3 linked regions of the Stegostoma tigrinum genome follow. The protein of the gene in region 3 purifies or fractionates together with the protein of the main gene of each other region. This does not show direct contact. Links are inferred from orthologs where the notes say so. Each region holds a gene or a part of one and is shown on either strand. Other genes may lie near its edges.

Evidence for each region.
Region 1: the proteins of sntb2 (region 3) and caska purify together in Homo sapiens (affinity purification with mass spectrometry; 3 studies listed by BioGRID and IntAct, with this or other methods). This does not show direct contact. The link is inferred for Stegostoma tigrinum from reciprocal best matches to the Homo sapiens genes SNTB2 and CASK.
Region 2: the proteins of sntb2 (region 3) and dystrophin purify together in Homo sapiens (affinity purification with mass spectrometry; 4 studies listed by BioGRID and IntAct, with this or other methods). This does not show direct contact. The link is inferred for Stegostoma tigrinum from reciprocal best matches to the Homo sapiens genes SNTB2 and UTRN.

What each region holds. Positions count from the first base shown.
Region 1 is NC_081365.1:43,393,346-43,404,503, reverse strand, and holds the start of caska (peripheral plasma membrane protein CASK), read right to left. Parts: upstream 4,637-11,158; 5' UTR 4,081-4,636; coding exon of another isoform or gene 4,022-4,080; intron 1-4,021. UniProt on the Homo sapiens protein: Multidomain scaffolding Mg(2+)-independent protein kinase that catalyzes the phosphotransfer from ATP to proteins such as NRXN1, and plays a role in synaptic transmembrane protein anchoring and ion channel trafficking.
Region 2 is NC_081362.1:550,482-561,408, forward strand, and holds the start of dystrophin, read right to left. Parts: upstream 5,344-10,927; 5' UTR 5,332-5,343; coding exon 5,238-5,331; intron 1-5,237.
Region 3 is NC_081369.1:67,639,452-67,650,624, forward strand, and holds the start of sntb2 (beta-2-syntrophin), read left to right. Parts: upstream 1-5,565; 5' UTR 5,566-5,588; coding exon 5,589-6,129; intron 6,130-11,173. UniProt on the Homo sapiens protein: Adapter protein that binds to and probably organizes the subcellular localization of a variety of membrane proteins. May link various receptors to the actin cytoskeleton and the dystrophin glycoprotein complex.

The sequences.
Region 1 (11,158 bases), on a different chromosome or scaffold from region 3:
AATCAGAACCTGGTGTAGGTATCCTTACAGTCCAGATATTCCATGGTGCTAGGGAAATGGTGTCCACAACAGACCTCTTTCACCAGTAAGCAAATGACAAAGGATCAAGACAGGCTGGGAAGCTAGAGTTGATGTGGACCATGACTAATCTCTTGAAGCATTTTATGATTATGGAGGTCACAGCCACTGGGCAGCAGTCACGGAAGCATGTTGTATGTGTTTTTTTTGGCTACTGGAATGATAGTGGTCTTCTTAAAGCAGGTGGGGACTTCAGATCGTAGCAAAATGATGTTAAAAAGTATCAGCGAACATGTCCGCCACCTGGTCCGCATAGGACGTGAGTGCATGGCCGAAGGACTCATGAATTCTGATTCCACTCTCCCAATACATCGCAAGTTCCTTCTCTGTAACTGGGTCAAGATCCTGAAAAAGCCTCCGTAAAGGGCATTGTGGGTCAGTTTACAGTATGTGAACTGCTGCAGTTTAAGAAGGCAGCTCACACTCACCTTCTCAAAAGGAAACTAAGGACAGGTAATAAGATGCTGGTTAGCCAGCCAGCGATGCCTACATCTTACAAGTTTTGTTTTATTCATGAGATGAGGGTATTGCCACTTAGGCCAGCATTTATTGCCCCATCCCAAGAGGGTAGTGAAGAGTCAACACATTGCTGTCATCTGGAGTCACATGTAAGAATGGCAGTTAGCTTCCGTAAAAAAAAAGGACATTAATGAACCAGATGGATTTTAACTGCCAGTGATTGTTTCATGGGCATCGTGACACTCTTCAATTCAGATTTCTTAAAAAAAAATTGAGCTCATATTCTACCAACTGCCATTGTGGGATTCAAACCTGGGTCCCAGAATACTACCTGGGCCCCTGGATTGACAGGTCCAGTGATAATACCATTACATCACCTATCACTTCCCCTTTGTGAATATGAACCACTATTCGTCACTCAAAATCTGAGAGACAATTTCTCCACCTCATACCATTGTGAATTCACTAAGGTCACCTCCAATCATACCTTTACCTGTTTTTAGTGCATCTGCTATTAAAATCCACATCCAGATCACTGCTTCACTAACTCTTGATACTCTAAATCCTGGTTAATCACCCATCCTCCATTCTATCAGAAAATAGATCAACACCAAATCACTGTGGAGGTGGGAAAGCACAGCAGGTTAGGCAGCATCTGAGGAGTAGGGAAGTCAAGGTTTTGGCCTGAAACGTTGATATCCCTACTCCTTGGATGCTGTCTGGCCTGCTGTACTTTTCCGGCTCCACATTTATTGACCCTAGCTTCCAACCTCTGCGGTCCATACCGTCTCCAAGTCTTAGATCAAGAGCAGGCCACTTTTACCCCTTGGAGTCTGCTCATCCATGCACACCAATAAAACATATGCCTATTACAAAATTTTCAAGGAGTTTTGTCCGCATTGTGAATGAGTCCTCTAGCTAATTATTGGGTTTTTTTTCCCCCCTATAAAAGACAAAACAAACACACTTGATTGCAGTTTTGGGGAGAGGTGAATGAACCAGCAAGTTACTTCATTGAACATTACGTACAAAGCTAACAAAATGTAATAATGTCATTTCGTATGTTCCCTTTAATCTGGTAAAACTATCAAATGTTTTTTTGTTTTTGAAAGGAAACAATGAGGAAAATTTAATCCATTACAACAAATTACTTAGTTCTAAATGTTTTCAGTTCTGATGAAAGTTCAGTGACCTGCAAAAGTTAACTAATTTCTCTCTGTATAGATGTTGTCTGATTTGTTGAGTACATTCAGGATTTTGAAAAAAAACAAAGAATAAAATGCATATGAATCTAAGCACCAAAAGTTGTTTTAGTTGACAAGAAAAACAACTTTAACCTTCTATGTTGTCTTTCGATGCAAGCCACACTCCAGTAGCACAGCAATCAACTTTCCCTTGAACGATTCTAGAGGCTTTGCTCCTGAAATCTGATTTCATTAATTGTTTCTTTAACTAAATTTGTCAACTCTGGATGCTTTTCTTTAGCCAAAGATGACTGAAAATCATTCCAAACTCAAAATGCTAAAGAACTAAATTAGATTTTAAATAAAACATCTTAACAAAAATTACATCTTTATCAAGATGAAGTTTTCCAAAACATTACATAGGTACACGACATTTAAAAAAAAACTTAAGGCCTTAAAAGAGAGGAGAGCATGTCGGAGATGTGAAATGATTTATGGAGGAGATCTCAGAAGTCAGGTTCTAAGCAGCTGAAGGCAATGGTCAAGAGTGGTGAAATGAAAGAATTGGCTTGTGTGTTCACCAATATCCATAGTAAATAGATTACAGAATGAAGCAAGGCTTTGAAGGGATTGGAACAGAATGATACTTTTACAACTCCTATGTCCCTACCTAAAATAGGTACTGTAAAACTGACTAATGCAGTTTAACTTAGCATCATGTGACCAAAGACACAACTGGAGCGCAAAATTTTAGTAAAAAGCATTATAGTAAATGCAATTGCAACTGTGAAATCAAAGAATGTGATCACAAATCTGTTTTATTTACAGCTATTTTGCTCTGCAATTGAATATAAAAGCAAAACTATTCAAGTCATTATACTTTCCTGTTAAGACAGGCTCATCTCAAAATATTTGTAACATCTATGTCAGTATCCTCTCAACAATTCATACACTATCTTCTGAGATTCAATTGCAAAAATGGAATTAAAAATCCATTTCTATATATTTAGTATTGCAATCTTCCAATTTCTCTCGGCTGAAATTACAGAAGTATGAATTTAACATAACTCAGTTGTTCAGTTGCAAGTTACACATATAATTTTAAAATAAAATATACAAGGTCACAAGTCTTTTAAAAAACCCTTCTTCAGGAATCTGAATACCCAAAAAGGGTTAAGTTACTGCTGTATTTTTTAAAACAATTTGCTTGAAACAAGAAATCTTGATAGATGCAAAAGGTAAGAATGGCATTTCTAAAACTACATGCTAAATTTAAAAGTTTGTGATACAGCCTGAGTTTTTAAAGATAACCGCAAAAGAAGCGTCATATTTGACTATTTACTTTCAATTACAGATATTTGAGATTATCTGTCAACACTATTCTGATTACCTAACAGGACTGAAAACATATTACAATGCATAGCCAAAAAAACCCAGAAAACAATCCACCATTTGAACATAATAAAGAGTAAATATTTGTTACGAAAATGTCTAAACAAATAAATGAGATACAAAAATGCTATGCTGATAAACATGCATAAACCACGTCCTGAACACTAGTGTTTTAAAATAATTAAGAATACAAAAGAACAATGACCCATCCTACAAGGAGAAACTCTTGATCAAATGTTTATCTTGACAATTAAAATCTTGTACGTTGACAAAACATTCTTTCCTTATTTAACTGAAAATCACTGCATCAGAACGACTGCTTCGCTGGAGCATTAGTGCTCTCACAACACGAAAATTGATCTTCAACCTGACTTAAGAAAATGGATTATATCATACAACGTTAAACGATAAACTTTCTGAATCAAAACAATACATAAATATAGTTGATAATTAATGCAAATTTCTTGGTTTTGCGGGAAACAGCCGAAACTACTCATTATTTCCTGGATAAATGTCTGATGCTCCTCTCCTTCAAAAGGAGGCACCGTATCCTTCAGATGCAAGAGCAGCTTTATCAATATTTCAATTTCAATTCATACATTACAAAGTAAATAATATCCACAATGGGCTGTACCACTTTTACATAAAATTGTAGCAAATAATGAGTTGTTTCCTAACGCATAAAGTTGATTTCTAAATGTTATTTGTTTAAATTTACTTCCAGAATTATTTTCGTTATTATGCAAAAAAGCTAAATAAATCCTTCGGCCGTATCCTGTAATCCACTGGAAACAGAGGGAGGGCCCGTTAAGTAAAACCACGAATTAAACCACAACCATAATATTCTGGCTTCAGTTGATTTCTACTTTAATTTAAATATATATATTTTTTAAAAAAAACACACTTACTTGCCAATCACTTCACACAGCTCATATACATCTTCAAACAGGACGTCGTCGTCGGCCATAGTCGATAATTAAAATCAGAATTTTGAGAGGGAATTCAAAGTAAAAAAAAACTCCCTCTAATGTGGAAATTGGTCTTTAAAACAAAACGTTTCCCGTGTAGATCAGTTAAAGAATTCAGGACACAATGAATGAAAAAGATTTTTTTTCCTCCAGACAGCACCAGCGAAACGAAGACTGATTGATAGTGAAGCAGCCGGGTAAAGCAGACTGCTGGGCTACGCTTGGCGCTGCCCTCCTCCTGGCGACCCCACCTTCTCTTTTTCACTGCCTTAAAAAAAATCCACAGTCCAAGGCTTCTGTTCTCTGTATAGAACTGCTCCCTGGAAATCCAGGCCAAAATCCGGGAATAATTCGCAATGAAAGAAAGGTCTTAATATATTACAGTCGGCGCTCGTCGGACCATGTTAACACTTCGCCCTGTCGTGCTGTAGGCTGCTAGTGTCGGCCCGTCCCCTGTCGCTGCGCCGCTACAGTTTCAGGCGGCGGCGGTTGGTCAGGGAGGTAACCACCAATCAACGCCCGCTCCCCGACTGCCCGCACTCTGGCTGCGTCAGCACTGAGCTCGCGGCGAGATGGAGGTACAGTGTTTGCGCATGCGCTTGAAGGCCAAACCGGCCGTGGCCAAACCAGTGCTGGGCATGCGTTAACCTGGATGGCTGCAGCACCTGCGTGTAGCGCGTGCGCTCACGCGTCGGTGGTTTTAGCAAATTACACCTTGTCGACAGTTTACACATCAAAACGGCAGGTTTTAACCCAAACAAAGGAAACTGTGCTCCTCGTTCTAAAATAGACGACCCAGTTTGAGTACATATTTTATGTGTTAAAATGATTTATTGTATTACATGTCTTGGTGAATAAACGGGAGTGATAGAAGATTCGGTTGAATATAGTACTGAAAAGCCAGTGGCCACTGCCTTGCTCTTCCAGGCCTTCGCCGTCACACAATTACATAATTTTAATACTATCCTGGTCAATCTTTGTATTGAAGACTACATCAATGTGAGTTTTCTTTCCTAAAATCACTGATGCCTTTCATTCATCCTATCCGCGCTGACCTATATTGTGTCCTGTTTCCCCAATTTCAACAGCTTTAAAATTCTCACGTATTTAAATCCAAGCATGCCTCTCCCACCTATCTGTAAAGTCACCATTGTAACTCAGGTAATGCAAAAGCCAAATTAGTCCACATTGTGATACTGACAAGATTGCCTATTCCTAGTTTTGTATTCGTCAATGCGGTGTGCGTTTCGCTGACTAGACCAGCATTTATTCGCCATCACCCGCGAATCGCCACTTTCCTTGGGCTGAAGGTAACACCCCACCCCACGCCACCCCGTGATGTTTGAAAGAGAGTTCCAGGATTCTAACTCAGTGACAGTGAAGGATCGATCAAGAATATGTGTTGCTTGGACGGGAACTTGCAAGATTAGGTATTTCCATGCATTGGCTGTCTTGTGCGTCTGTGTGGTGGAGGTCATGGTTTTGAAGATGCTGTTAGTCCACATTGTAAAGGGTACAAACTGATGTCACTGAGCAAATATGGGGGAGGAAATGAAGCGTGAAGGTGTTGAATGGGCTGCCAATCAAGCAGACCACTCTATCCCAGATACTATTAATCTTCTTGACTGTTGGTGGAGCTGTACCTCGAGGCCTTCTTGTGGCACAGTGGTAGTGTACCTATCCCTGGACTAAGAGGCCCAGATTCAAGCCCCACCTCCTCCAAAGGTGTGTAATAACTTCTCTGAACAGGTTGTTTAGAAAAATTGGTTGGAGCTGCACCTATCCAGGTGAGCAAAAAAACTGTTCTCTTACACTCTAATTGTGACTTCTAGTTGGTGATAGGCTTAGGGAGACAGGAGGTGAAAAGATTTATAGATTCATACAGCACAGAAACAGGCCCTTCAGTTCACCTCGTCCATGCCAAGCAAGTTTCCCCAACTAAGCTAGTCCTAGTTGCCTGCATTTGGCCCATATCCCTCTGAACCTTTCCTGTTCATGTACCAATATAGGCTAATAGTGTCACTCAGTATGTAAACAGACCCTTCAGTCCAACTAATTCTGGGCTCCTAACCTGTCCCTACAGCCACAGAGTTTATATAGCTACTCTGGCTCAGTTTCTTTTTGCTGGTAACTCCCAGCTTGTACATAGTGGAACATTCAACACAGGTAATGCCTTTGAATGTCAAGGGGAAATGCTTAGATCAGTTACCTCCAACCTTTTTAAATGCAAGATCACTTTATGAATTTACCCTGAAGAAAATATAGAATAAAAAGTTTATTTTAGTGCTACTGAACTCTGTCTTCACTCGTCAAGTTTCGGTGTCTGCACATTATATGCCTGTGCCTTGATGTCTGGCTTGTACTTTGAAACAGCTAGTCATATACAGTCCATCAAATGATTATTTGTGAGGTAGATGCAAAACATGTACTTGAGCAAAGAGGTCCTTCTGCAGCTGCACAGGGCCCTGGTGAGACTGCACCTGGAGTATTGTGTGCAGTTTTGGTCTCCATATTTGAGGAAGGACATTGTTGCTATTGAGGGAGTGCAGTGTAGATTCATGAGGTTAATTCCTGGAATGGCGGGACTATCATATGTTGACAGATTGGAGCGACTGGGCTTGTATACACTTGAGTTTAGAAGGATGAGAGGGGATCTGATTGAGACGTATAAGATTATTAAGGGATTGGACTCTCTGGAGCAGGAAGAATGTTTCTGCTGATGGGTGATCCCAGAACCAGAGGACACAGTTTAAAAATAAGGGGTAGGCCATTTAGAACAGAGTTAATGAAAAACTTCTTCATCCAGAGAGTGGTGGATATATGGAATGCTCTGCCCCAGAAGACAGTGGAGGCCAAGTCTCTGGATACTTTCAAGAAAGAGATGGATAGAGCTCTTACAGATAGTGGAATCAAGGGTTATGGGGATAAGGCAGGAACAGGATACTGATTGTGGATAAGCAACCATGATCATAATGAATGGTGGTGCTGCCTCGAAGAGCCGAATGGCCTACTCCTGCACCTATTGTCTATTGTCTATTCATCCTTATCATTTGAAAGAATGCTGATTCACAGAGGAATAAGGAGTCAAACTAAGCTTCCGCATTAAAAGCACAGGATATCAGGAGTGGGTAATTTTTTTGCTTATGTCCTTTGATCTGACTTTCAAAGTCATTTTCCCGGTAATTATCTCTGTAGCAACATCATTGCTTGTAAATCAAACACCTGATGGAATTTGGTAGCCTTCTACCAAAGTCTACTTGAAGGAATGATTTGAGACAAATATGATGGTTTGTTCCATTACACCTAATTCCTGAAATCATATGTTGAATTCTTCTACTAACTTCGTCAGAAGTGCACTGAGGTTTTCTGGTTTTTCCTTGTATTTTTGTCTAGTATTTTCTCCAGGCTGGGAAAGTGCTGCAGTGTATTTTTCATTTGGGATAACCACAGACCCAATTTCAATTTGAGCGCCTTCACAACCCTAGTTATAAATGCTAGACTCTGTCTGTTTCCTGCACTTAACACCTCATTCAGTTTTTGACATTATGTCTGTTAGGAACCTGAAGCAAAATAACCATGTACTGGTTGACAGCTCATTGCATGTTAATGCAGTCATAAAACTGTAGTCACAGTCCTTGAGACCCTGATGTAGCTATTGAAAGATGTCTTCAGACAAAGATTCCATTTGGCCTGGTCCTGTGGAAACACCAAGTGACATGCTCTGGATTGCAATAATTATTTCTTCCTTGTCCTTAAAGTCTTTGAATAAAGCGTCTGTGGCTGCAGTCATTGTTTCTTTAATTACTTTGCCATCAGGCAATAATTTCCTGCACTTTACCAGAAGATGACAAATGCAAAATTCTGTTCAGTGCAGGCTTTGCTGCTGCCTTAGAAAAACATGACTGTAGAACTTTCAAAAGGCTTTCAGCTCACTAATATTTTTTTTATCTGAATCTGTTTAAGTGAAAACTGTCCTTGAGTTCACTTTGCATCATTGAGTGGTGTTGAACCAAATTCCCCTTTTCATTTATTAATATCCACTTATGACACATGAACATATGAGGCTAATGCTCATCTTTTACAATTGTTAACAGAAATTTATTTTCCCATTTTTCTGGTTTCTTTTTATATGTTCCCAGTTTATTACTCCTTCTTATTGCTTCACCATGTAATTCAAGACATTACTCTGCTGCTGGTCAACCCGTGTCTCTGGAACATTCAGAATGTTGCTAGCTGCTTTCTAATGTAGTGGCACCGCAAGTCATTTTTGATGTTGTGATTTGTTTCCAGGGCCCATGATTGGCTTGCGTTATTCAAATTTTGGATGTGGGCGCAACAGCTCCCATCCTAACTTTTCATCCACGTGCAGATAAATAGCTGAGGAAAATAAACTCAGGCCTGCAGGGAACAGGAAGAAAAATGGGACCAGCTGAGCTGCTGCTGCAGAGAGTTCGCACAGACATCATGCTCCTATACATCTAGTACTTTAATATACAGACTTCACACATCTGTTCCTAATATATTTCTTATTCATTTATTTACAATACTATCACAGAACATACTTTTTTTTGAAATGAAAGTCGTTCTGGACCAAACTGAAACACAATGCAACAAGCAAGAAAATCCTGATAAAGACATGAACTTTTCTCTACAGCTTCTGGAAGCAGAACTCATAGAGAGGCATAGTAATCAACATGCTCACTGTGAGGAATTACAGGCAGGCGGTGAGATGGATTGTCAGAGACATACATGACAAGGAAACAAGGGTGGCCAGTGAGATCACCTGTCGGAGACAAGGACTGTCGGAAATCATTGTATTAGACATCGCAAGCTTAGATATTTTTCCTTTTCGAGGTTATCATTATCTGGCAATTGTGTGATGCAAATGTTACTTGCTGCCTATTCTACTTCTGGGGTCTACATTGAATGTGGTGCATCTGATTTCATTTGTTTGTTTAGGCTCCAGTGTGGTTTGATAGAAATGAATGGCTTATAATGCCATTTCAAAGGACAGTTAAAAGTCAACCACATAGTTGTCTGGATTCCGTTGTGGAGTCAGATGAAGATGACCTCAGGTAAGGATAGAACATAGAACATAGAACAGTACAGCACAGAACAGGCCCTTCAGCCCACAATGTTGTGCCGACCATTGATCCTCATGTATGCACCCTCAAATTTCTGTGACCATATACATGTCCAGCAGTCTCTTAAATGACCCCAATGACCTTGCTTCCACAACTGCTGCTGGCAACGCATTCCACGCTCTCACAACTCTCTGCGTAAAGAACCTGCCTCTGACATCCCCTCGTTACTTCCCACCAACCAGCTTAAAACTATGACCCCTCGTGCTAGCCATTTCTGCCCTGGGAAATAGTCTCTGGCTATCAACTCCATCCATGCCTCTCATTATCCTGCATACCTCAACTAGGTCCCCTCTCCTCCTCCTTTTCTCCAATGAAAAGAGACCGAGCTCAGTCAACCTCTCTTCATAAGATAAGCCCTCCAGTCCAGGCAGCATCCTGGTAAACCTCCTCTGAACCCTCTCCAAAGCATCCACATCTTTCCTATAATAGGGCGCCCAGAACTGGACGCAGTATGGTGGATTTCTTTCCCTAAAAGACATTAGTGAACCAGATGAACTTTCATGACAATCAACATTATTAGACTTTTAATTCCAGATTTTATAAATTCAAATTCCACCATCTTCTGTGGTGGGTTTCGAACATAGAGTCCCAGCGTCTTACCTGGGACCCTGGGTTACTAGTTCAACATCAAAACCTTTGCACAATTGACCCATAAATGGGATCTCATCTGATATTTGAAATACACAGGGTATGTGAAATTGAATTGTGTAGCCTATCACACCTACTGCAGATTTCTCATTTGCACAGAGTGCTACTGGCGCTTCTTGCACAACCTTTGTAGCATTGATACAGGGTATTGCCATTTGTGCAGTTGTCATGTATGTTTCTGAAGACCTTGAATGGTTGCTTTCACGATTTCCTGCATCAGAATGAGACTTTTAATTATCAAAATCGTAAATTTTGTCAAGAGGTAGGCAGAAAACAAATACATTAACCACTGCCAAAACAATAAGCATCCAGAAGCAAAATAGTCACATTTTGGATTATTTAAAGGACCATTCATTGAGTAGTAAATGAGTTATATATGACACAGTTTTGCTCAGATTACTGGTTATTTGACCCTGAAAATACACAACTGCAACGCACCAAGGCTTTTTCAAGAATGCCTTCCAAACCTGCAGCCTCTACCAAAATTGCACCAGATGTAAGTATGTAAGAAACAGGACAAAAAAATAGACTTCTGAAGCCTGCCCTGCCATTCAATAAGAATGATGTTTGATCTGCCTCAGGCTTCAATTCCACTCTTGTTCCAGTTAGCACAGCCATCAATTTCCTGATATTTCAAAAATCTCTTCACCTCTATTTTAAATCTTTCTGTGATCTAGCCTGTAAAACTCTCAGGGTTAGAAAATTCCTAAGATTAAATACCCTCTGTGAGAAGAAATTACTTCATTTCTGTTTTATATAATATCCTGTTAATGAGTAACCGTATTTCCTAGTTCGAAATTCCTTTGCTAGTGGAAACATCATCTGAACATTTAGTCTATCAAGCCCTTTCACAATCAATATGTTTCAATAAAACCACCCTTCATTCTTATAAATTCCAAATTTCTAGACTTTTTAACTGTTCTTGAATAAATCGATCCCTTTGTCCCAGGAATCAGCCTAGTGAATCTCTTGAACACCCTCTAGTGCCAGTATATCCATTTTTAAATATGGGGACAAAAACCACACATAGTATTCTAGGAGTGGCCTCATCAACACCATGCTACAGTTGGAACAAGATTTCCCTGTTTTCAAACTCAATTCCCCTTGCATTAATGGAAAAACTTCAAATTGCCTTCTTAATTGCATGCTCATTTTTTTGTGTTTTATGCAGATTCCTCAGTTTATTTACACATGTTTGAATTATCATTCTTCCTACCTTACAGTTTTCTACATGAAACTCCCATCTGCCAAATTTTTGCACACTCACTGAACCCATGGATATCTC
Region 2 (10,927 bases), on a different chromosome or scaffold from region 3:
GAGGCTGTGGGTGGGAGGTCAGCTGAGGTGATGAGGTTGTGGATGGTTTGGGAGATGACTGTTTGGTGCTCGGGGTTGGGGTGATGATCCAGGGAGTGGTAGGAAGTCATGCTGGAGAGTTGGCGCCTGGCCTCAGCGACGTAAAGGTCAGTGCGCCATACTACAACTACACCTCCCTTGTGCGCGGGTTTTATGGTGAGGTTGAGATTGGAGCGAAGCGAGTGGAGGGTTGCACGTTCTGCGGGGGACTGGTTGGAGTGGGTGACAGGGGTGGAGAGGTTGAGGCGATTGATGTCTCGGCGACAGTTGGAGATGATGAGGTTGAGGGAGGATAGGAGGCCTTGGGGTGGTGTTCAGGAGGAGGGACTTGTGTTGGAGGCGGGTGAAGGGGTCAGTGGAGGGAGGGTTAGGCTCACGGCGTGCAGGTGAAGGCGGCGGAAAAAGTGCTCTATGTCTAAACGTGACCGGTATTCATTGATGTGAGGGTGGAGAGGGACAAAGGTTCGTCCTCAGTCAGGAGGAGGAGGTCTGTGGGGGTGGGGGGGGGATGGTGAAGATTCGGCAGGGCTCAGTGTAGCTGTCTCCTATGCAACTGCTGGTCATGAAGTTGTACAGAATTTTATTGAAGCCACAGCTACAGTAGTGTTTGCAGTTCTCGTAATCACATTACAGGAATTATTTTATTACACTAGATGGGGTGCAGAGGAGATTCATCAGGATGCTGCCTGGGATGGAAAATTCAAGTTGTGAAGAAAGGTAGGATAGCATGGGTTGTTTCTGTCGGGGCAGAGAAGATCAAGACGCTATTTGATTGAGGTATACAAAATTATGAGGGGCAAGAGCAGAGTGGATTAGGAACATCTGTTCCCCTTGTTTGAAGGGTCAATTACAAGGAAGCAGAGGTTCAAGATGGGGGAATGGTAAGCAACACTTTTTATAGTCAGAAAGTGGTTATGGTCTGGCATTCGCTGCCTGGGAGGGTGGTAGAGGTGAATTTCCTCATAGCCTTTAAAAGAAGTAGCTGGATGAGCTCTTGTCATGTTATAACATTCAAGGCAATGGCCCATGTGCTGATAAATGAGATCAGGTCACAGGTCAGGTGTTTCTCACTTGTCGTTGCAGAGTCAATGGGCTGAAGGATGTCTCCTGCGATTGTACGATTTAAAGGGTAGCTGCTGAGGGGTGCTTTTCTGGCTGGAAATCTGTGAGCAGTGATGTTCTGCAGGCATCAGTACTGGGACCCCTGTTGTGGTAATATATATAAATGATGTGGATGGAAATGTAGGTGGTCTGATTAGTAATTTTGCAGACGTCATGAAAATTGGCAGAGTTGTGGATAATGAGGAAGGTTGTCAAAGGATACAGCAGGATATAGATCAGTTAGAAAGTTGGGCAAAGAAATTGCAGTAGGCATTTATTTCAGAAAAATGTGAGGTGATGCATTTTGGTAGGTCAAATGCAAGTGAAAAGTATACAGTGAATGGCAAGACCCTTTTGTGCACTAATATACAGATGAACTTTGGAGTGCATGTTCACATCTCCTTGAAAGTGGCAATACAAGTGGATAAGGCAGTAAATAAGGCAATACGGCATGCTTGCCTTCATTAGTCAGGCAACTGAGTATAAAAGTTGGCAAGTCATTTGCAACTGTATAAAACTTTAATTGAGCTACACGTGGAGAACTGTGTGCAGATCTAGTCACTACACTACAGTAAAGGTTTGGAGGCTTTGGAGAGGATGCAGAAGACGTTTACCAGGATGTTGCCTGGATTGGAGTCTATTAGCTATAAGGAGATTTTGGACAAACTTGGATTGTTTTTGCTAGAGCATTCGTGCCTGAGGGGTGACTTGATAGAAGTGTGTAAATTATGAGAGGCATAGATAGTCAGAGTCTTTTACCCACAGTGGAAATGTCAAATACTAAGGGGCTTAGGTTTAAATGGAGGGTGGGTAGTTTAAAGAAGATGTGCAACAGAGTTAGCATTAAGGCTACTGTTAGATTTAGGGTTTTAATTTTTCTTTACACAGAGGGCGGTAGGTCCATAGAATCCACTGCCAAACAGGTGATAGAAGCAGATACAAAATCAATGTTTAACAGGCATATGGACCGACCAATGGACATGCAGGGAATAGAAGGATGTGGACCACGTGCACAAAGATGGGATTAGTTGAGAATGGCATTATGGTCAGTGCAGACATGGTGGGCGAAATGGCCTGTAACTGTGTTGTAGTATTTCATGTTTTTATAGTAAAGACATCAGACTTCTACACCCTCACCAACCTCTTCACAAAGGCACTGACTGAACATGCAAGTAATGGCCGGACTATGTGCCAATTTCATTTAAAACAAGCATAATTATGACTAGTGTGTTGGAACATGACAACAAAGAAAATAAGCTGCTAATAATTAACTTTACGAATTGCACAATGAGTACGATTGTGCTTTTTAATCTAAACAGCTGATCAAGTAGGCACAGAAGAATTTATTCCTAGTCGGAGTGCTTTCATAAATACATGAGCCGTTCCAAGCCTGCATAACAAGACAGAACCACCCTCCACAACAATACAATCCCAAAATTTGTCTCAAATATCCTCACTCAAAAGCAAACATAAAAGGGGTTCAGATATATTTCAACAAGTTAATACAATGGTCCATCAACATTTTGGGAAATTAGGCGCTACGCAAGCTGCCATATGCATGTAAGTTTTTTCCTCTCAGTTTGCTTTCACTGGCACACAAGCAAGATGGAGCAAATTCTGTGCTTTTTTATCAATCATGCATTCTAAAAATTGGAATCTCCTGGATTTCCATGGCTCCTTCACAACATAGAAGTTCTAAGATCCTGTAGCCAAATCAGCTTGCCTGCTCCAAGGTTATAAAATCAACCCAAAAGGCCACCAGCTATGTTGAGAATCATTTTGTGTGACTTTCAGCAACATTAAAAATCTCTTCACACAAAGCAATCACTGTACAGTGGCCCAGAAAGCTAGAGAATTTGTATATATTCATCAATAGGTGCCACAAACAGAAACAAAATTCACTGCATATTTCTCCCAGCACTTTTTTTGGTGTGGTTGGGGTGCATGTGGGTAGGGGTGGCATGGAACACATTGTCTTAATATTTTTTCCAGAAAAAAATGCTACTCATTAACTAATACAAAAGAGTGCTGGTGCTACTTTGAATGACACTACTTTCACTCAATATAGAACAAACACAATATGTAACATAAAATATAATTAAAAACCCACAACATAATAGCTGTATCAAACCCCACCTCTACAACAGACTTGTTGCGGAAAACACCAAGCCTTTTGCTGTAGCTAACTGGTCAATGACCTTGCAGTCTGCTCAAAGGAAGTGATCATATTTACAGCAAGATTTGAAAGCCTTCAGTCCTCCAACACTAGCCACTGAAAGCAACAACAATGTGTTAGAGACATCTTTAAGATTTCAGGCAGCCTCAGTTCAGATGCACACAGCAGTCAATTTGCAGTTAAATCAATGGATTCAAATCTCCCAACTTTACCTGAATGGGAGGCTGAGCTGAAACATCAAACCACATTCATAACTGCTTTCTAATGACTGCCCCAACCCCCACCAGGTACTGCACAAGTAGAACTCCAAAACACTCAGGCTAGACATCATTTAGGACAAAACATCTCACTTGATTGGCACCACATTCACCACTTTCAGCATTCACCCCCTTCATCACTGACATAATGCCAGCAGCACACACAATCTACAACATACAATGCAGTTGCTCACCAAGGCTCCTTCAACAGCATCCTCCAAACCCACAACCTCTACCGAAGGAACAGGGTAGCAGATGTGACATGACCTCCAGCAAGTTCCCCTCGAAGTCACTCACCATTCTGTCTTGGAAATATATCATCGTCCTTTCGCTGCTGCTGAGTCAAAATCCTGAAACTCCTTACTTAACAGTACTATGGACATGCCTACACTACATGAACAGCTGTGATCCAAGAAAGCAGCTCACCATCACTTCCTTCAGGGCAATTAAGATAAAACAAAATACCGACTCACCCAATGACACCCACATTCCATAAATTAATTTTAAAAAAAGTTTGTGCACGGCAGATGTTACAAATTGTTGTTAGGCTAGAAGAGATTGAACAGATAAGGAGGGAACATGGCCATGGCAGAACCTGCAAGACAAGGGTGACAATTTTAAAAATTGAGATAACAACCAGATGCCAATACAGGTTGAGGAGAAGAAAGGTGATCAAAGAACAGGACTAGAAGCAGAGTTCTGTACAAGCTTAACTTATGGAGGGTGCAAGACAGGCAAGAAATATTCAAGTCCAGGTGGAACAAGGGCACAGAGGCCGATCAGCTGAGGCAGGGGCAGAATCAGATGATGTCACATTGGTGGAAGTTAGCAGTCCTACTGCTTACAGGTATGTGGTTGGAAGCTCATTTCAGGTTCAAATGAAACAAATATATTTCTGTCACAGGTAGGTACTAATTTGAGGAACAAGAAAGCTACTTGGTTACAATGGAATGGACTTTGTGATAAAGATTTAAATGAAATGCTTGGGGTGGGACAAGGTGAAATACTCAAAAGAAGAGCAGGGTCCTAAGCAGTCAGGAAACAGGCAGGTGTAATTTGGTTTTAAGAGTCACACCTACCGTTTTTTGCAGCTATGTAGACAAAACACACAAGACAGCCTTCAAATAAAATGCAGAAAGATATCTAATGCTATAACTGCAGAGTCTAAAGTCCACACACACCCTAACAGCTTCATTGAACATTCCAGTTTTAGAAGTTCTGTATTAGATAGTTCAATCTCCTGAGTGCACGCTGCATGGGAGACAAGTCAGGTCTTACTTCCAGATTAACATTAATGAAGATAAGAACTGCTGTGAAACAAATCTCACTTCGCACCGATGCCAAAGGTGCACTGTAAATGCAGCTTGCCTGGAGCCTCAAACCTTTCAATCCTTAATATATTCCCCAAAATTTTTCAAGCAAGGTAGTCATAAATGAGTTTGGTTCTATATTTACAAGTGCTCAAACTTTGAATTTGGTCCCCAAAAACTGTGTTTCCACATTAGATTTCTTGAACTGAATTTGCCTCAAAGCCAACAAAGCACATTTCAAATTGTATTCGGTGTTGAAATATAGGAACTAGGCCTTTATAACGTTCTTTAAGCAAACAGATTACAATATACCACCTCATTCAAGAGAACGTCTATTAAAACTTGCATACTTACTACCTAATCCACTTGAAACATGTACATATTTGTTGCAAGAAAGAAGAAAAGGACAAATTGTCCATGATAAAGGCTTCACACTCCGCACACTCATCTCTTAAATTCTGCTCACAGAAAAAATGCAGAGGAAACGGATGTTTAACATCACTCAGTGCAAGCTGGGAGGTAAGGGATAAATACAAGCTTACACTGCATGTGTCACATTCAAAAGTAGACAGCCACAAACCAGAATCAGCACTTCACTCTCTCCACCACTTGGTGTTTCTGAGGTGCTACTGTATTGATCTGATATTACTAAACTTGCTGTTTAATCAGTTTACTCAGCCTAATCATGGGTTGCCTTGTCTTTATAACTTAATTCCCGTCTTTAATTGAGATTTCAATGGTGCAAAATGATTGATGCACAGAACAGCTTGCAAAAGAAAAGCACATACCAACATAAACAAGCTATTCCGAACTGGTGATTCCTTCCCAAATGTGAAAATTGCTCATTTCCATTGTGGTTCATCTAAAAATATTCAAATGTGTATTTGAAGGAGAAGATAGGTGGAGAGGAGACAGACAAGTTAAAGAGCCAGCAGAGGTGACATTGCCTGGGCAGCTGGATTAAACAGTTGAGCAAAAATACCACGAGACCATTGTCTCCCCTATTCCAATAACCTGCTTTGCAATAAGCATTATGGACTAAATCGATCTATTAGTCCAATCCTATTTTCTCCAGCTTAGTTATTAAATATCACCACAGCTTTCCCGATCCAAACACAAACTGGCTCACGAGGAACACAAAAACGAGGAACTAGCACTGAAATTGCACGGTTGACTGCATTCACCAGGTTCACAAAAAAGAAAAGCATTGTATTGCGGAAAACTCCATCCATTCGATTGGGACTGTGACAACTTACCGAAAGAGTCATCCAAGCAGCTCTGTTCCCCGATTTCTTCATAGAGTCAATTCATACAGCATAGAAAAAGACTTCAGGTCCAACTCATCCATGCTGACCAAGTTCTCAAAACCACACTAGTCCCATATGTCTGCATTTGGCCCATATCCCTCTAAATGTGCCTATCTATGTACCTATCCAAATATCTTTTAAATGTTGTAATTGTACCCACTTCTGCCACTTCTTCCAGCAGCACATTCCATATACGCACTACCCTCTGTGTGAAAACGTTACTGCTCAGGTTGCAATTAAATCTTTCTCCTCTTACATTGAACCAATACCCTCTAGTTTTGGACTCCCTACCCTAGGGAAAAAGACCTTGGCTATACACTTTATCCATGCCCCTCATGATTTTATAAACATCTGTAAAGATCCGCCCTTCAGCTCCCACACTACAGGGGAAAAATGTCTCGGCCTATCCAGCCTCTCGTTATAGCTCAACTTTCAAGTCTCATTAACATCCTTGTAAATCTTTTTTTCACCCTTTCCAGTTTACTGACATCCTTCCTAGAGCAGGGCGATCAGAACCATATGCAGTATTCCAACCGTGATTTTACTAATAAAGCAGAATTACTACAAATAGCAATCACCAGCTCCATCTACATCCAAATACTTTGAAAGGCAGTTAACACCATTTTTCAACTGTTAATATACTCCTTCTTGAGACTTCAAGTGATGTCCAGCTGTGAAGTCACAAGTAAGCTATTAATACGCATCATCTCAAATCAGGATATGTAAATATATTTAAATATAGCACGGAGGGTATCAGAAGAGAATAGGAAAGTGTGATTAGTTCAGTGAGGCGTCAATGGCAATGCTAATAAGCAACACATGTTTAGTGGTAACAAGGTGCGGAGCTGGATGAACACAGCAGGCCAAGCAGCATCTTAGGAGCACAAAAGCTTACGTGTCGGGCCTAGACCGTTCATCAGAAAAGGAGGAGGCGAGAGGGTTCTGAAATAAATAGGGAGAGGGGGGAGGCGAATAGAAGATGAATAAAGGAGAAGATAGGTGGAGAGGAGACAGACAAGTTAAAGAGGCAGGGATGGAGCCAGCAGAGGTGAGTGTAGGTGGGGAGGTAGCGGAGGGGATAGGTCAGTCCGGGCAGGACGGACAGTTCAAGGGGGTGGGATGAGGTTAGTAGGTAGGAAATGGGGGTGCGGCTTGAGGTGGGAGGAGGGGATAGGTTAGAGGAAGGACAGGTTGGGGAGGCTGGGACGATCTGGGTTTGTTTAGTGATGCAGTAGGGGGACAGGACATTTTGAAGCTTGTGAAATCCACATTGATACCATTGGGCTGCAGAGTTCCCAAGCGGAATATGAGATGCTGTTCCTGCAAACTTCGGGAGGCATCGTTGTGGCACTGCAGGAGGCCCAGGATGGACACGTTGTCTAAGGAATGGGAGGGGGAAATTGAAATGTTCGCAACCGGGAGGTGCAGTTGTTTGTTGCGAACCAAGCGTAGCTGTTCTGCAAGCCTCCGCTTGATGTCCCCAACGTACTGGAGGCCACAACGGCTACAGCGGATGCAGTATACCACATTGATAGATGTGCAGGTGAACATCTGCTTGATGTGCAAAGTCTTCTTGGGGCCTAGGGGTGAGGGAGGAGGTATGGGGGCAGGTGTAGCACTTCCTGCAGTTGCAGGGGCAAGTGATGGGTGAGGTGGGGTTGGAGGGGAGCGTGGAGCAGACAAGGGAGTCAAGGAGAAAGTGGTCCCTCCAGAAAGCAGATAAGGGTGGGGATGGAAAAATGTCTTTGGTGGTGGGGTCGGATCACAGATGGCCGAAGTGTCAGAGGATGAAGCATTGGATCCAGAGGTTGGCAGGGTGTTACGTGGGGATGAGGGGGATTGTCTTTTGGTGGTTATTGCAGGGACGGGGTGTGAGGGATGAGTTGCGGGACAGTCGTAGACAGGGAGTTCCTGGACCAACGAGGAGAACACGGAGTCCAGATAGGTGGACATGATTTCGGTGGGGCAGGAGCAGGCGGAGACAATGGGTCAACCAGGACAGGTAGGTATGTGGATTTTAGGTAGGAGACAGAAGCGGGCAGTGCGGGGTTGGGGAACAATGAGGTTGGAGGCTGTGGGTGGGAGGTCACCTGAGTTGATGAGGTTGTGGATGGTTTGGGGCTCGGGGTGGCGTCATGATCCAGGGGGCAGTAGGAGATGGTGTTGGAGAGTTGGCATCCGACTTCAACGATGTAAAGGTCAGTGTGCCATACCACAACTGCGCCTCCGACATCCGTGGGTTTTATGGTGAGGGTGGGATTGGAGTGGAGGGAGCAGACGGCTGCGCGTTCTGCGGGGGAGAGGAGAGAGTGGTGGAGAGGTTGAGGCGATTGCTGTCTCGACGGCAAGTGGAGGTAGGAGGCCTTGGGGTGGTGTCCAGGAGGACGGCTTGTGTTGGAGGTGGGAGAAGGGGTCAGTGGAGGGAGAGTTGGGCTCACGGTTAGAGAAGTAAGCATGGAGGCAAAGGCGGCGGAAAAGCTGCTCAATGTCCAAACGCGACTGGCATTCGTTGCTGTGTGGGTGGAGAGGGACAAAGGTGAGCCCCTTACTGAGGACTGACCATTCATCCAGAGTCAGGGGGAGGTCTGGGAGGATGGTGAAGATTCGGCAGGGCTCAGTGTGGCTGTGGCAAAATAGTTAAGCTTCTGGTCATTAGTAACCTCCAGGTGTCAATGATAGGAGATTCAGTGATGATAATTCTGTTGAATGTCAAGGAGAAATAGGTACATTCTCTTTTGGGCAGTGTCATTTCCTGACACTCATACAGCATGAATATTACTCACTACTTATGAACCCAAGTGGAGGGTGGTGCCGTTATGCAATGAGCTGCCAGGGCAAGTGGTGGAGTTGGTAAAGAAACATTTAAAAGGCAACTGAATGGTACAACAGTAGGAAGGGTTTAAGGAGGGATATGGCCCAAACGCCGGCAAATGGGACTAGATTAATTTAGGATATCTGGTCAGCATAGCAATTTGGACCGAAAGATCTATTTCCATGGTGTACATCTCAATGACCCTAACAGCAGGTGTTCAATGTATTGTCTGCTGTCATTAAAAAGTGGTTGTCATTGAAACAGTTATTTGGGCATCACGCATATTGTCCAAAATACAGGAAAGTATAAACAGTGCAAGATGTGTTTTGCCCCTCGCCTGTCCAACATTTGTGCACTGCGTTTATCAGTCACCTAGATTCAAACATTTTCTGCAGTACTTAGAGTAAATTTCATTTTTGTTAATTCATTGTATTTCAGTTTTTGAAAGAAGTCCTCAAAATCATTGAGGTTGTATCCAAAATCTGACAGGTTGAAGTTCACATTAGTTCATGTGCAAAATTATCTTGAACATATAAATGTGAGGTGATACATTTTTGTAGAAGACAAAGAGTGGTCACTATCATTTGCAATGTGAGAATCTAGGTGGAAGAACAAAAGCATTCAGGAGTACAAATACACGACCCACTCAGCAATTAGTGAAACGCTTTTGCAGACAGATGACATTGACAGGATGGGCCAAATAGCCGCCTTCAATGCTGTGAGCATTCTACCTTACCATAAACATCAGACTTCATTTCTACAGGGATACATTTGAATAGTAGGAGAGTTATGTAAACCCATCTTGAAGCTCAGTTAAAATACATTTTGTGTACTGCATGTCTGATTGTATGTTATTAAAAATGAATGGTGACATGGCGAGATAATGGGAACTGCAGATGCTGCAGAATTCAAGATAACAAAGTGTGGAGCTGGACGAACACAGCAGGCCAAGCAGCATCTCAGGAGCACAAAAGCTGACATTTCGGGCCTAGACCCTTCATCAGAGAGCCTCTCTGATGAAGGGTCTAGGCCCGAAACTTCAGCTTTTGTGCTCCTGAGATGCTGCTTGGCCTGCTGTGTTCGTCCAGCTCCACACTTTGTTATCTTGGTGACATGGCAGAGCAGGTTTACAAGGGTAAAATCAAAAATGCACTGAAGGATGAATGAACACGGACAGCCTGTAACGGCAAGCTAACGAGGCATTCGGTGTTCTTTACTGAAAGAAAGTGATCTGTGTAGTACCTCATATAATGTGGTCTTGAAAGCTTTATGAATACAGACAGACAGACTTTTGGAGAGAAAGAAATGAACAGACATCATTCCGCCTCAAAAAACGTTGATGGCTGACCACACACAGATGTTCAAAAGCGTAAAAGTTTCAAAAAGAAGATTCAGGGAAATTTTTTCCCCCACTTGTAAGAAGAACATAATTAGAGACCACCAATGCATTTTAAAAAATCAAACAGAGAATCTGGAGAAAATTAATTTGCCCACAGAGTGCTAAGAATGCAGAACTCATTGCTTAGGATATTGAAGCAGCCAAGATAGCATAGTTGCATCCTTTTCATTTCAAGAGACAACAAAATATCTGCTGCATGTGTGTACATTAGTGTTTGCATTTCAAAATAATTTTTATAGGAGGCAATATGGAACACTGTAAGAAACATGAGATTGTGAGATATAAATATAGAAATGTTAACAACTGTATAGCTAAATGCATGTTTGTAGTTTTTCAGTTTCTAATGTATATACATTTATGCACCTATTAGTGAGAGGTAGCGTGGCTATGTGGGGGCGAAGACTGTCTCTCAAATTTCATTGCATTTTTTGAAGATGTGACAAAGATGACTGATGAGGGCAGGGCGTTGTATAGACTTCTACGTAGACTTTAGCAAGGCCTTTGACAAGGTATTACACAGCAGTCT
Region 3 (11,173 bases):
ACGTTTATTCATTAACAGAATGAGGGCATCACTGGCCAGGCAGCATTTATTGCCCATCCCTAACTGCTCAAAGGGGATCACATTGCTGTGGGTCTGGAGTCACATGTAGTCTAGACCAGGTAAGGATGGTAGTTTCTTTCCCTGCTGAACCAGATGGGTTTTTTCCCAACAATCAATTCATGATCATTATTAGACTCTTAATTCCAGATGTTTATTGAATTCAAATTTCACCATCTGCTGTATCAGGATTTGAACCCAGGTCCCCAGAACATTTTCTGGGTCTCTGGATTAGCAGTCGGGGGATAATACCTCTAGGCCATCATCTCCCCTCATCTCAAATGAATTTTTGCTGTTAAATTGAAATGTTCGGGTAGGGGTGTTCAATGCAGGGTATTGATTTACAGAAGCTTTGGATTAAAGGATGCAGTAAAGTCAGTAAATCAGATTGTCTTGAGGCCAAAGGTGAAGTAGGAAGGAAGGTGCAACGGACGAGATGTGCTGCAACATTAAAGTGGATAGTGAGATAAAGATTTCTAGGTGACTTGGTGGGATGTGATGATTGAAAACACGAGGGAAAGGCCATATAATGTCAGCATAATGTTTTCAAATACAATGCATTAAGTAGCAGGGAGCCAAGAAGAGATGATGGAAGTAGAACATCCATGATAGATATTGCAATTTTAGATTGTCTGAAGGTTAGGGCTAGATAGACATTGAGGTCATAGCGATTATAGACAAAAGGTGCCATAATCCCAAAGAGCCATAGGCTGTTGTCTCATGAGACAGAGATGATTGGTAGTTTAATCTGAAGGTTGCCAAACATCAGGTGAGGGGGAGGGGGTGTGGAGAGAGTGCAGGTGCGAGAGAGCGAGCACGTGTCTGGTGTGTATGGAGGCTTTAGAATGAGAGAGAGAGAGAGAGAGAGAGTGCGTGTGTCGGGGGGGGCATTAGAGAGAGAGCAAGAGAAAATCTGAGTGTTAAGAGTGCAAGCGAGTGTGTGTGTGTGTGTTGGGGGGGGGGGGCGTTATTGAGATAGAGTGTGTGTCTGCGTGTTTGAGGGGAAGTGAGAGTGTATAGTGTGGTATGGTCACCTGTAGTGTGACATGATCCCAAGATCCCAGTTGAGGCTGCCCTCATGGGGACCAAACTTGGCTATCAGCCTATGCTCGGCCACTCCATGTTGTCGTGTACCTCGAAGTCCGCCTTGGAGAACGTTTACCCGAAGATCCGGGGCTGTATATCATTGATAGCTGAAGTGCTCCTCCACTGGAGGGAACATCTGGTGATTATAGCGCAGTGTCCATTCATCCATTGTCACTGCATCTGCAATGTTTCACCAATATACCATGCCTTGGGGCATCCTTACCTGCCACGTTACATGAGTATCTGCTGTGTATGTGGTGGGGCGTGTTCCCACGTGTGACGGAAGTGTCCATGTTGATGATCTGACATGTCTTGCAGAGGTTGCCATAACAGGGTTGTACTGTGTTGTATTCGATGTTGTCCTGAAGACTGGGTAGTTTGCTGTGAACAATGAGGTTTGGTAGTTGTTTGAAGGTGAAAAGTGGAGGCATGGGGAAGATCTTGGTGAGGTGCACATTGTCACTGATAATGTATTGAAGGCTGCGAAGAAGATGGTGTAGTTTCTGTACTCCCAGGAAATGCTGGACAATGAAGGGTACCCTATCAGATGTATCTGTGTCTGTCTTCGAAGGAGGCCATTACGGTTTTTCGCTGTGGCACTGGCGTTCAATGAGTTGAACAATGTTAGTGTCTGTGTGTGGGGAACATGAGAGAGAGAGAGAGAGAGTGAAAGCAAGAGAGAATCTGTTTGTTGGGGGGGGCATTAAACAAAGATTGCAAGCAAGAGAGTATCTGTGTGTGTGTGTGTTGGGGGGGCGGGGTGTTAGAGAGAGATCGAGCATGTGTCTGTGTGTTTGAGGGGGAGTGAGAGTGTATAGTGTGTTACGGTCACCTGTAGTGCAACATGAACCCAAGATCCCAGTTGAGGCTGTCCGCATGGGTACCAATCTTGGGTTGATGAGTTGAGCATTGTATCCTGTTCCAATGGGGGCATTTGGATGGGTACATTATCAGAATGTGTTTGAAGGGATATGGGCCAAATACTCCCAAATGGGATTAGATGAATTTTGGATCTCTGGTCTGCGCGGACGAGTTGTGTCGGTTTCTGGGCTGTGTAGTTCTATGACTCTTGTGTCAGACCCAAAGATAGTAGGAACTGCTGCTGCTAGACTCTGAGATAAAACACCACAACGCAGTCCCCAAGCCTCTGCTTGGTTTCCCCGATTGTAGAGGAGGCCACAATCGGAAAAGTGGATACAGTATATCACATTAGCAGATGTGCAGGTGAACATGTTTGATGTGGAACGTATTCTTGGGACCTGGGATAGGGGTGTAGGGGCAGGTGTAGTACATCCTGTAGAAAACGACAATGTTGTCGAGAATACTGAGATACAGGCTACTAGACTAGGTGGGATTGAGGCTCACAAGGAAGAGGTATTAGAAATCCTACAGAGGGTGAAGACAGATAAGTCCCCTGGGCCGGATGGGATATATCCTAGGATCCTCTGGGAAGCCAGGCAGGAGACTGCCAAGCCTTTGGCATTGATCTTTAACTCGTCATTGTCTACAGGAATAGTCCCAGGCGACTGGAGGATAGCAAATGTGGTTCCCCTGTTCGGGAAGGGGAGTAGAGACAACCCTGGTAATTATAGACCAGTGAGCCTTACTTCAGTTGTTGGTAAAGTGTTGGAAAAGGTTATAAGGGATAGGATTTATAATCATCTAGAATAGAATAATTTGATTAGGGATAGTCAGCATGGTTTTGTGAAGGGAAGGTCATGCCTCACAAACCTTATTGCGTTCTTTGAGAAGGTGACCAAACAGGTAGATGAGAGTAAACTGGTTGATGTGGTGCATATGGATTTCAGCAAAGCATTCAATAACGTTCCCCGCAATAGGCTTTTGTACAAAATACGGAGGAATGGAATTATGGGAGATATAGCAGTTTGGATCAGAAATTGGCTTGCTGAAAGAAGACAGAGGATGGTGGTTGATGGGAAATGTTCACCCTGGAGACCAGTTACTAATGGTGTACCGCAAGGGTTGGTGTTGGGTCCACTGCTTCTCGTCATTTTTATAAATGACCTGGATGAGGGCGTAGAAGGATGGGTTAGTAAATTTGCAGACGACACCAAGGTCAGTGGAGTTGTGGATAGTGAAGAAGAATGTTGTAGGTTACAGAGAGACATAGATAAGCTGCAGAGCTGGGCTGAGAGGTGGCAAATGGAGTTTAATGCAGACAAGTGTGAGGTGATACACTTTGGTAGGAGTAACCGGAATGCAAAGTACTGGGCTAATGGTAAGATTCTTAGTAGTGTAGATGAGCAGAGAGATCTCTGTGTCCATGTACACAGATCCTTGAAAGTCGCCACCCAGGCATACAGTGTTTTAGCGTTTATTAATAGAGGATTGAGTTCCGGAAACAAGAGGTTCAGCTGTACAAAACTCTGGTGCGGCCGCACTTGGAGTATTGCGTACAGTTCTGGTCACTGCATTATAAGAAGGATGTGGAAGCTTTGAAAGGGTGCAAAGGAGATTTACTAGGATGTTGCCTGGTATGGAGGGAAGGTCTTATGAGGAAAGGCTGAGGGTCTTGAGGTTGTTTTTGTTAGAAGAAGGTTGAGAGGTGACTTAATTGTAGACATATAAAATAATCAGAGGGGTGGATAGGGAGAGCCTTTTTCCTAGGATGGTGATGGTGAGCATGAGGGGGCATAGCTTTAAATTGAGGGGTGAAAGGTATAGGACAGATGTCAGAGGTAGTTTCTTTACTCAGAGAGTAGTAAGGGAATGGAATGCTTTGCCTGCAACGGTAGTAGATTCGCCAACTTTAAGTACATTTAAGTCGTCATTGGACAAGGATATGGATGTACATGGAATAGTGTAGGTTAGATGGGCTTCAGATTGGTATGACAGGTCAGTACAACATCAGGACCGAAGGGCCTGTACTGTGCTGTAATGTTCTATGTTCTATTTCCTGGGGTTGCAGGGAAAATTGCCAGGGGTGGTGGGGCTTGGAGACAACTTTATGGAGCACCTGCAGTCCCATTCACATACCATTTCCAGTCCCCCTCCCATTCCTTAGATGACATGTCCATCATGGGCCTCCTGCAGTGCCACAACGATGCCACCCAAAGGTTGCAGCAACAGCAACTCATATTCCGCTTGGGAACCTTGCAGCCCAATGGTATCAATGTGGACTTCACCAGTTTCAAAATCTCCCCTTCCCCAACCATATGCCAAAACCAGTCCAGCTAGTCCAAAAGATTGGAGCGACTGGGCTTGTATACACTTGAGTTTAGAAGGATGAGAGGGGATCTGATTGAGACGTATAAGATTATTAAGGGATTGGACACTCTCTGGGGGCAGGAAGCATGTTTCTGCTGATGGGTGAGTCCAGAACCAGAGGACACAGTTTAAAAATAAGAGGTAGGCCATTTAAAACAGAGTTGAGGAAAAACTTCTTCACCCAGAGAGTGGTGGGTATATGGAATGCTCTGCCCCAGAAGGCTGTGGAGGCCAACTCTCTGGATACTTTCAAGAAAGAGATGGATAGAACTCTTAAAGATCGTGGAATCAAGGGTTATGGGGATAAGGCAGGAACAGGATACTGATTGTGGATGATCAGCCATGATTACAATGAATGGTGGTGCTGGCTCAAAGGGCCGAATGGCCTACGCCTGCACCTATTGTCTATAGTCTCTGCCTTTCCAACCATTCCTCTCACCTCAAGCCCCACCTCCATCCCACTAACCTTAGCCTCACCCCCGCCCCCCTGATCTGTCCGTCCTCCCTGCACAGACCTATCGCCCCGCCAGCGACACACCTTTACTGGCTTCATCCCCGCTTCTTTAACTTGTCTGTCTCCTCTCACCCAATCTTCTCCTTTATCCATCTTCTATCCGCCTCCCCCGTCTCCCTATTTATTTCAGATTCTCCTCCCCCCTCCCCCGAAGAAGGGTCCCGACTTGATACGTCAAGCTTTCCTGCTCCTCTGATGCTGCTTGGCCTGCTGTGTCCATCCACTTTCACACCGTGTTATCTCAGGAACTCCAGCATCGTCAGGCCCTACTATCTCTGTAACAACTTTCTCCCCCTCTCTCCCTATTCATTTCAGAACCCCCTCCCCCTTTTCTGATGAAGGGTCTAGACCCGAAACGTCAGCCTTCCTGCTCCTGAGATGCTGCCTGACCCGCTGTGTCCGTCCAGCGCCACATTGTGTTATCTGCAGTTCTTTAGTTTGTTTCCCGTTCGCTGGCCATTGCATTATTCCCATTGGCCTCCACGGAGGACCTTGCTCCCATTGGCTGGCCGTTGCGCGATTTCTATTGGTAGCCTCCAGGATCTCGAGCCCATTGGCTGGCTATTGCACTATTCCCATTGGCCGGCCGTTGCCAATTTCCCGACGGTCGCCCCCTGAAGATGTGCTATTATTGGCTGGCCATTGCACTAGTCCCATTGGTTGTCCAGTGCCGTGTTCCCATAGGCTGTTGGGTTGGCGGGCGATGGCGGCCGGGCTCTCGGTTCGGGCCGGGCCGCTCGAGCTTTTTCTCCGGGACCGCGGGTGGCTTCGGGTCGGGGCTGAGCTGCGAGCAGATAGCCTGAAGCTGACCAGCGAGGACTTGGAGCCTGGGGTCTGGGATGGTCTCTCCAACGGATCCCCGCGGCCGCGGAGCTCCAGCCCGACTCCAGTACATATGAGCCCGGCGGGGCCTGGATCTGGGAGTCCGGGTCGAGGTGCCGCGGTTGTGCTGCCCCGGGAGGCCAGCAGCCCGAAACCGGGTCCAGGGCTGGCCGATCGGGTCCGTACCGTGAGGGTTGTGAAACAGGAAGCCGGTGGCCTCGGCATCAGCATCAAGGGCGGCCGCGAGAACCGAATGCCCATCCTCATCTCCAAGATTTTCCGGGGCTTAGCGGCCGAACGTACCGGCGCCCTTTACGTGGGAGATGCCATCCTTGCGGTGAACGGAGCTGACCTCCGGGAGGCGACACATGACCAGGCCGTACAGGCCCTGAAGAAGGCTGGAAGGGAGGTGACCCTGGAGGGTGAGCGGGGGCTAAGGGGAGAGCGACCCGATCTTCGAGGTTCGGGTGAGGAGGGAGCGTACCCCCCCTCCCCCGGGGAGAGAATGGTCCGGGGATTCCTCTTCCACAAATTGTAAACGGATAATTTCGATGTTGAAATCTTCATTGAAAGAGATGTATAGAGAGAGATGTGCGTCTAATGAATACTTGCCATGTTGTTTCTCTGCTGGTTTCTGGACTGGTTCACATTGTACAGATTCCGATGGGAGCCGAGTTCTCCTCGAGTTTAACTTCATCAGTGTAGGCCTAGTACACGTAGAGTTTGTGAACATTGTGTATCCACCTGAAGGGCAAGTGGTTAACAGTAAGTGATTAGAATATCCTAAGGATCCAACAGGTAGAAATGTATTACATAAAACACAAATACAACCAACCAGGAGGTGCTAAAGATACTCCATTTGAGCTGCTTCTGTCTTTTTAAAATCTAAATCTACCATCCTAATCCTTTACATACAAACTAGGAGCAGGATTAGGCTATTCAACTCCTTGACTCTGCTCTTCCATTCATAAGATCATAGCTGATCTGACGGTAACCTTAAATCGATATTCTCCCCAGGCCTGTTAACCTATCATCCCCTGGCTGAAAAGAATCTATCTGTTACCAGTTTTAATTGTGTTCAACGACTTGACTTTCTTCACTTTTTCAATATGGGAGTTCCAAAGACTTGAGATGTTCCACCAGCAAAAAAATTCACTGCATCTGTTTTAAATGTGTGACAGTTTTAAACAGTAACCTTTAGTTTTAGATTCATTGTTAGATTCTTAATTCTAGATTTCTGTTGTTTTCGAAAGTCACAATTTGGCAGGCAGCATTCAAACATAAATGTTCCCTAGGCCATTACCTCTGTTTCTGCATTAATAGTTTGGAGATAATGCAGTGACAAGAATGCTAATGCAGTTATCAGGGAGGTGATGATCTGGTGGTATTATCACTGGACTGTTTGTTCAGAGACCTAATAGCATTTAGGGTGGCACGGTGGCTCAGTGGTTAGCACTGCAGCCTCCCAGCACCAGGGACCCGGGTTCGATTCCAGCCTCGGGCGACTGTCTGTGTGGAGTTTGCATATTCTCCCTGTGTCTGCGTGGGTTTCGTCTGGGTGCTCCGATTTCCACAGTCCAAAGACGTGCAGGCTAGTTCGATTGGCCATGAGAAATTACCAGTAGTGTTCAGGGGCGTGTGGGTTATACGGGGATGGGTCTGGGTGGGATGCTTCAAGGGGCAATGTGGACCTGTTGCGCCAAAGGGCCTGTTTCCACACTGTAGGTAATCTAATCTAATCATTCTGAGGACCTTGGTTTGATTCATGCCAAGGCAGACGGTGGAATTTGAATTCAGTAAAATATCTGGAATTAAGAATCTAATGATTACTATGAATCCATTGTTGATTGTTTGAAAAACCCAAATGGTTCACTGACCTTTTAGGGAAGGAAACTGCAATCTTTACCATATTTATTCCTATTCATCTGTTGGATGTGAGCATCGCTGGCTGGCCAGCATTTCTTGTCCATCCCTAGTTGCCCTTAAGAAGATGGGGGTGAGCTGTCTTCTTGAGCTGTTGCAGTCCTCCTGCTGTGGGTTGACCCACAATCCGACTAGGGAGGGAATTCCAGGATTTTGACCCAGCAACAGTGAAGGAACAGCAATATATTTCCAAGTCAGGATGGTGGGTAACTTGGAGGTGGTGATGTTCCCATATGTGTGCTGCCCTTGTCCTTCAAAATGGAAGTGGTTGTAGGTTTGGAAGGTGCTGTCTGAGAATCTTTGGTGAATTTCTGCAGTGCATTTTGTAGATACTATACGCTGCTGCTACTGAGTGATGGTGGTGGAGGGAGTGAATGCTTTTGGATGTAGTGCCAGTCAAGTGGGCTGCTTTGTTCTGGGTGGTGTCAAGCTTCTTGAGTGTTGTTGGGACTGCATTCATCCAGGCAAGTGGGGAGTAGTCCATCACACTCCTGACTTGTGCCTTGTAGATGGTGGACAGGCTTTGAGGAGTCAGGAGGTGAGTTGCTTGTCACAATGTTCCTAGATTCTGACCTGCTCTTGTAGCCACCGTTATTGTGGTGAGTCTAGTTGAGTTTCTGATCAATGATAATCCCCAGGATGTTGATAGTGGGGGATTCAGTGATGGTACCACCAATGAATATTAAAGGATGGTGGTTAGATTGTCTTATTGGTGATGGACATAGCCTGGCATTTGGGTGGCACGAATGTCACTTGCCCCTTGATAGCCCAAACCTGTATATTGCCGGGGTCTTGTTGCATATGAACATGGACTGCTTCGGTATCTAAGAAGTCACGAATGGTGCTGCACATATCCCCACTTTTGACCTTATGATGGAGGGAAGGTCATTGAAGCCGCTGGTCTGACCTGTATGTGACTCCAGAACTACAGCAATGTGGTTGACTCTGAACTGCCCTCCGGGCAATTAGGGATGAGCACTAAATGCTGCCCAGCCAGTGTCACCCTTGTCCTGTGAATGAATAAAGGAATACAGTTATGCCATTGATAGCTTTTGTCATTGAAATGTTTTGTCACTGCCCCCCTCTCTCTGACTTTCCCACCCCCAGCTCTGGCTCACCCGTCTGCCCACTGTGTGCCCATCTATCTCGTTTGACCATTCTCTTTTCTATTCTAATAAGATCACAAAGTCAACATGATTACAGATAACAGGGTGTAAAGCTGGATGAACACAGCAGGCCAACTGCATCAGAGGAGCAGGAAGGCTGGCGTTTCGGGCCTACACCCTTCCTCAGAACAAAATTATACAATTGAACCTGGAAGAGTGAATTTAATCCAGAATGGGAGCGACAGTTCTGGACCTGTCACCTGGGGAGAATGAGCCTGTGCAGATGGAATGCATATAGGGAAGCTTTTGCAGATAGTGACTACAACTCCGATAGATTTAGGTTAGTTATGGTCAAAGGTAAAGATGGGTTGGGAATAAAAGTTCTTAATTGAGGAAATATTAATTTTACTAAGATAGTGTTATGGGCCAAGTGCTGGGAAATGGAGCTAATGTAGATTTAGCGTAGCTTTTTGTCAGTGCAGGCTTGATGGGTCAAAGGACCTCCTCTACTGTATGATTCTATAATATTAATTTGATAATGGTAGGCTGGGAGCAGCTACTTGCACATTAAACTGTCAGAGCAGTAGGAAGCATTCATTGAGGAAATACCAAAAGCACAGATTAAATTTGTGCCTGCAATGGTGAGACCCAGGCAGGAAAATCCTGGATGTCAAAGAAAATGAGCATTAAGACTAATGGATGGGAGAAAATAGCTTAACATGGCAAAGGCCCTCGAAGAATATAAAATGCCCAGTGTGATCTTAAGGTAATTTGGAAAAACTGCAAGAGTGCATGAGAAAATATTATGTAGAAAAAATGGAAAACAAAAGGATTTTTAAAATATATGAATGATATTAAATATTTGTTTTCCGTAAGTTGTGGGCATAGTCCTCAGTGAGTACTTTGCGTTCAGTATGGATTTGGACAACACAGTTGTGGACATCAGGATGGAGAACTGTGAAATATTGGAAGAAATCAACAGAGAGGAGAGAAGAGTGTGCTGAGCAGTGTTTAAAGTGAATAAATCTACAGATCTGGATTGGATGTATTCCAGGCCGTTTAGGGAGGAGATATCAGAGATATCCTCTTTGGCCAAAAGTGAGGTACCAGAAGTTTGGATAACTTTTAACATTGTCCTGTTATTTGGAACAAAAAGAAGAATGAGCTACACCAGGAAATTACAGGCCAGTTTAATCCCAGTGGTGGGTAACTGATTAGAAAAAATTCTAAGCGACACAATATATCTGCACTCGCAAAAGACAGATTATTCAGGCATTGGCAACATTAATTTATTGAGGAAAGGTTGTGTTTGAAATATTTGATTGAAATTTTGAGGTGAGTGTTGATGAGTGTAATGCATTTGGTGTGGTCTGTGAGATTTTAGCCAGGCATTTGTTAAGTTCTGTCATGGCAGATTGTTCAAGAAAGAGTCCTTGAGATCTGAAACAAATGGTATGTTGGATCTAAAATTGGCTGACAGTTTAGAAGCTGGCACTAATGGTAAAAGGATATTTCTGTGACGAGAAGTCTATTTCTGGTCAATTCTTCAGGGCTTGGTGCTGTGGCCCTTTCTGTTTCTAGTGCATGTTAATGATTTGGATGTAAATGTAAGGAATGTGATCATGAAGTTTGAGGATGACATGAAAATTGGTAGAGTGTAAATAGGGCAGCTAGCTATAAGCTATGTAGGAGGACATATAGTGGACTGACAAGTGAGCAGAACAGTGAAAAATGAATACAGCCTGGAAAACTGAGGTCATGCAGTTGGGACGGCTAATAAGACTAGAGATTACACTGAAAAGTAGGACAGTAAATCGTGGTGAAGATCAGAGAGACTTTATTGCGTGCTTTACCGATCTCTGAAAGTTGTTGGACAGGAAGAAAAACTGCTAAGGCGGCATTGGGACACTAGTTTTTATTAGCTGAAACATAGTATACAAGAATAGGGAGGTTATGCTGTAACTATATAAAACAATGCAATGGCCACAATTGGAGTACTGCATCCAGCTCTATTCCCCACATTACGGCAGGATGTGATTGCACAAGTGAGCGAGCAGAGGAGATTTACCTGGACACTGCCTGGCTGGAGGATCTTTTTTCTTTTACTCTTCATTCATTTATGGGATGAAGGTGTCGCTGAACAGATAGCATTTATTGCCCATCCCTAATTTCCCAGAGGACTGTTGAGAGTCAACCACGTTGCAGTGGGTCTGGAATCACCTGTAGGCCAGAGTAGGTAAATATGGCAATATCCTTCCCTAAAGGACATTAGTGAACCAGATGGGCTTTTCTGACAATGAACAATAGATTTATGGTCATCATTAGATTCTTATTTCCAGATATTTTATTGAATTCAAATTCTACGATCTAGCATGGTGGGATTCGATCTCTGGTCCCCAGAACACTATTTGGGTCTCTGGATTAACTGTCCAGTGAT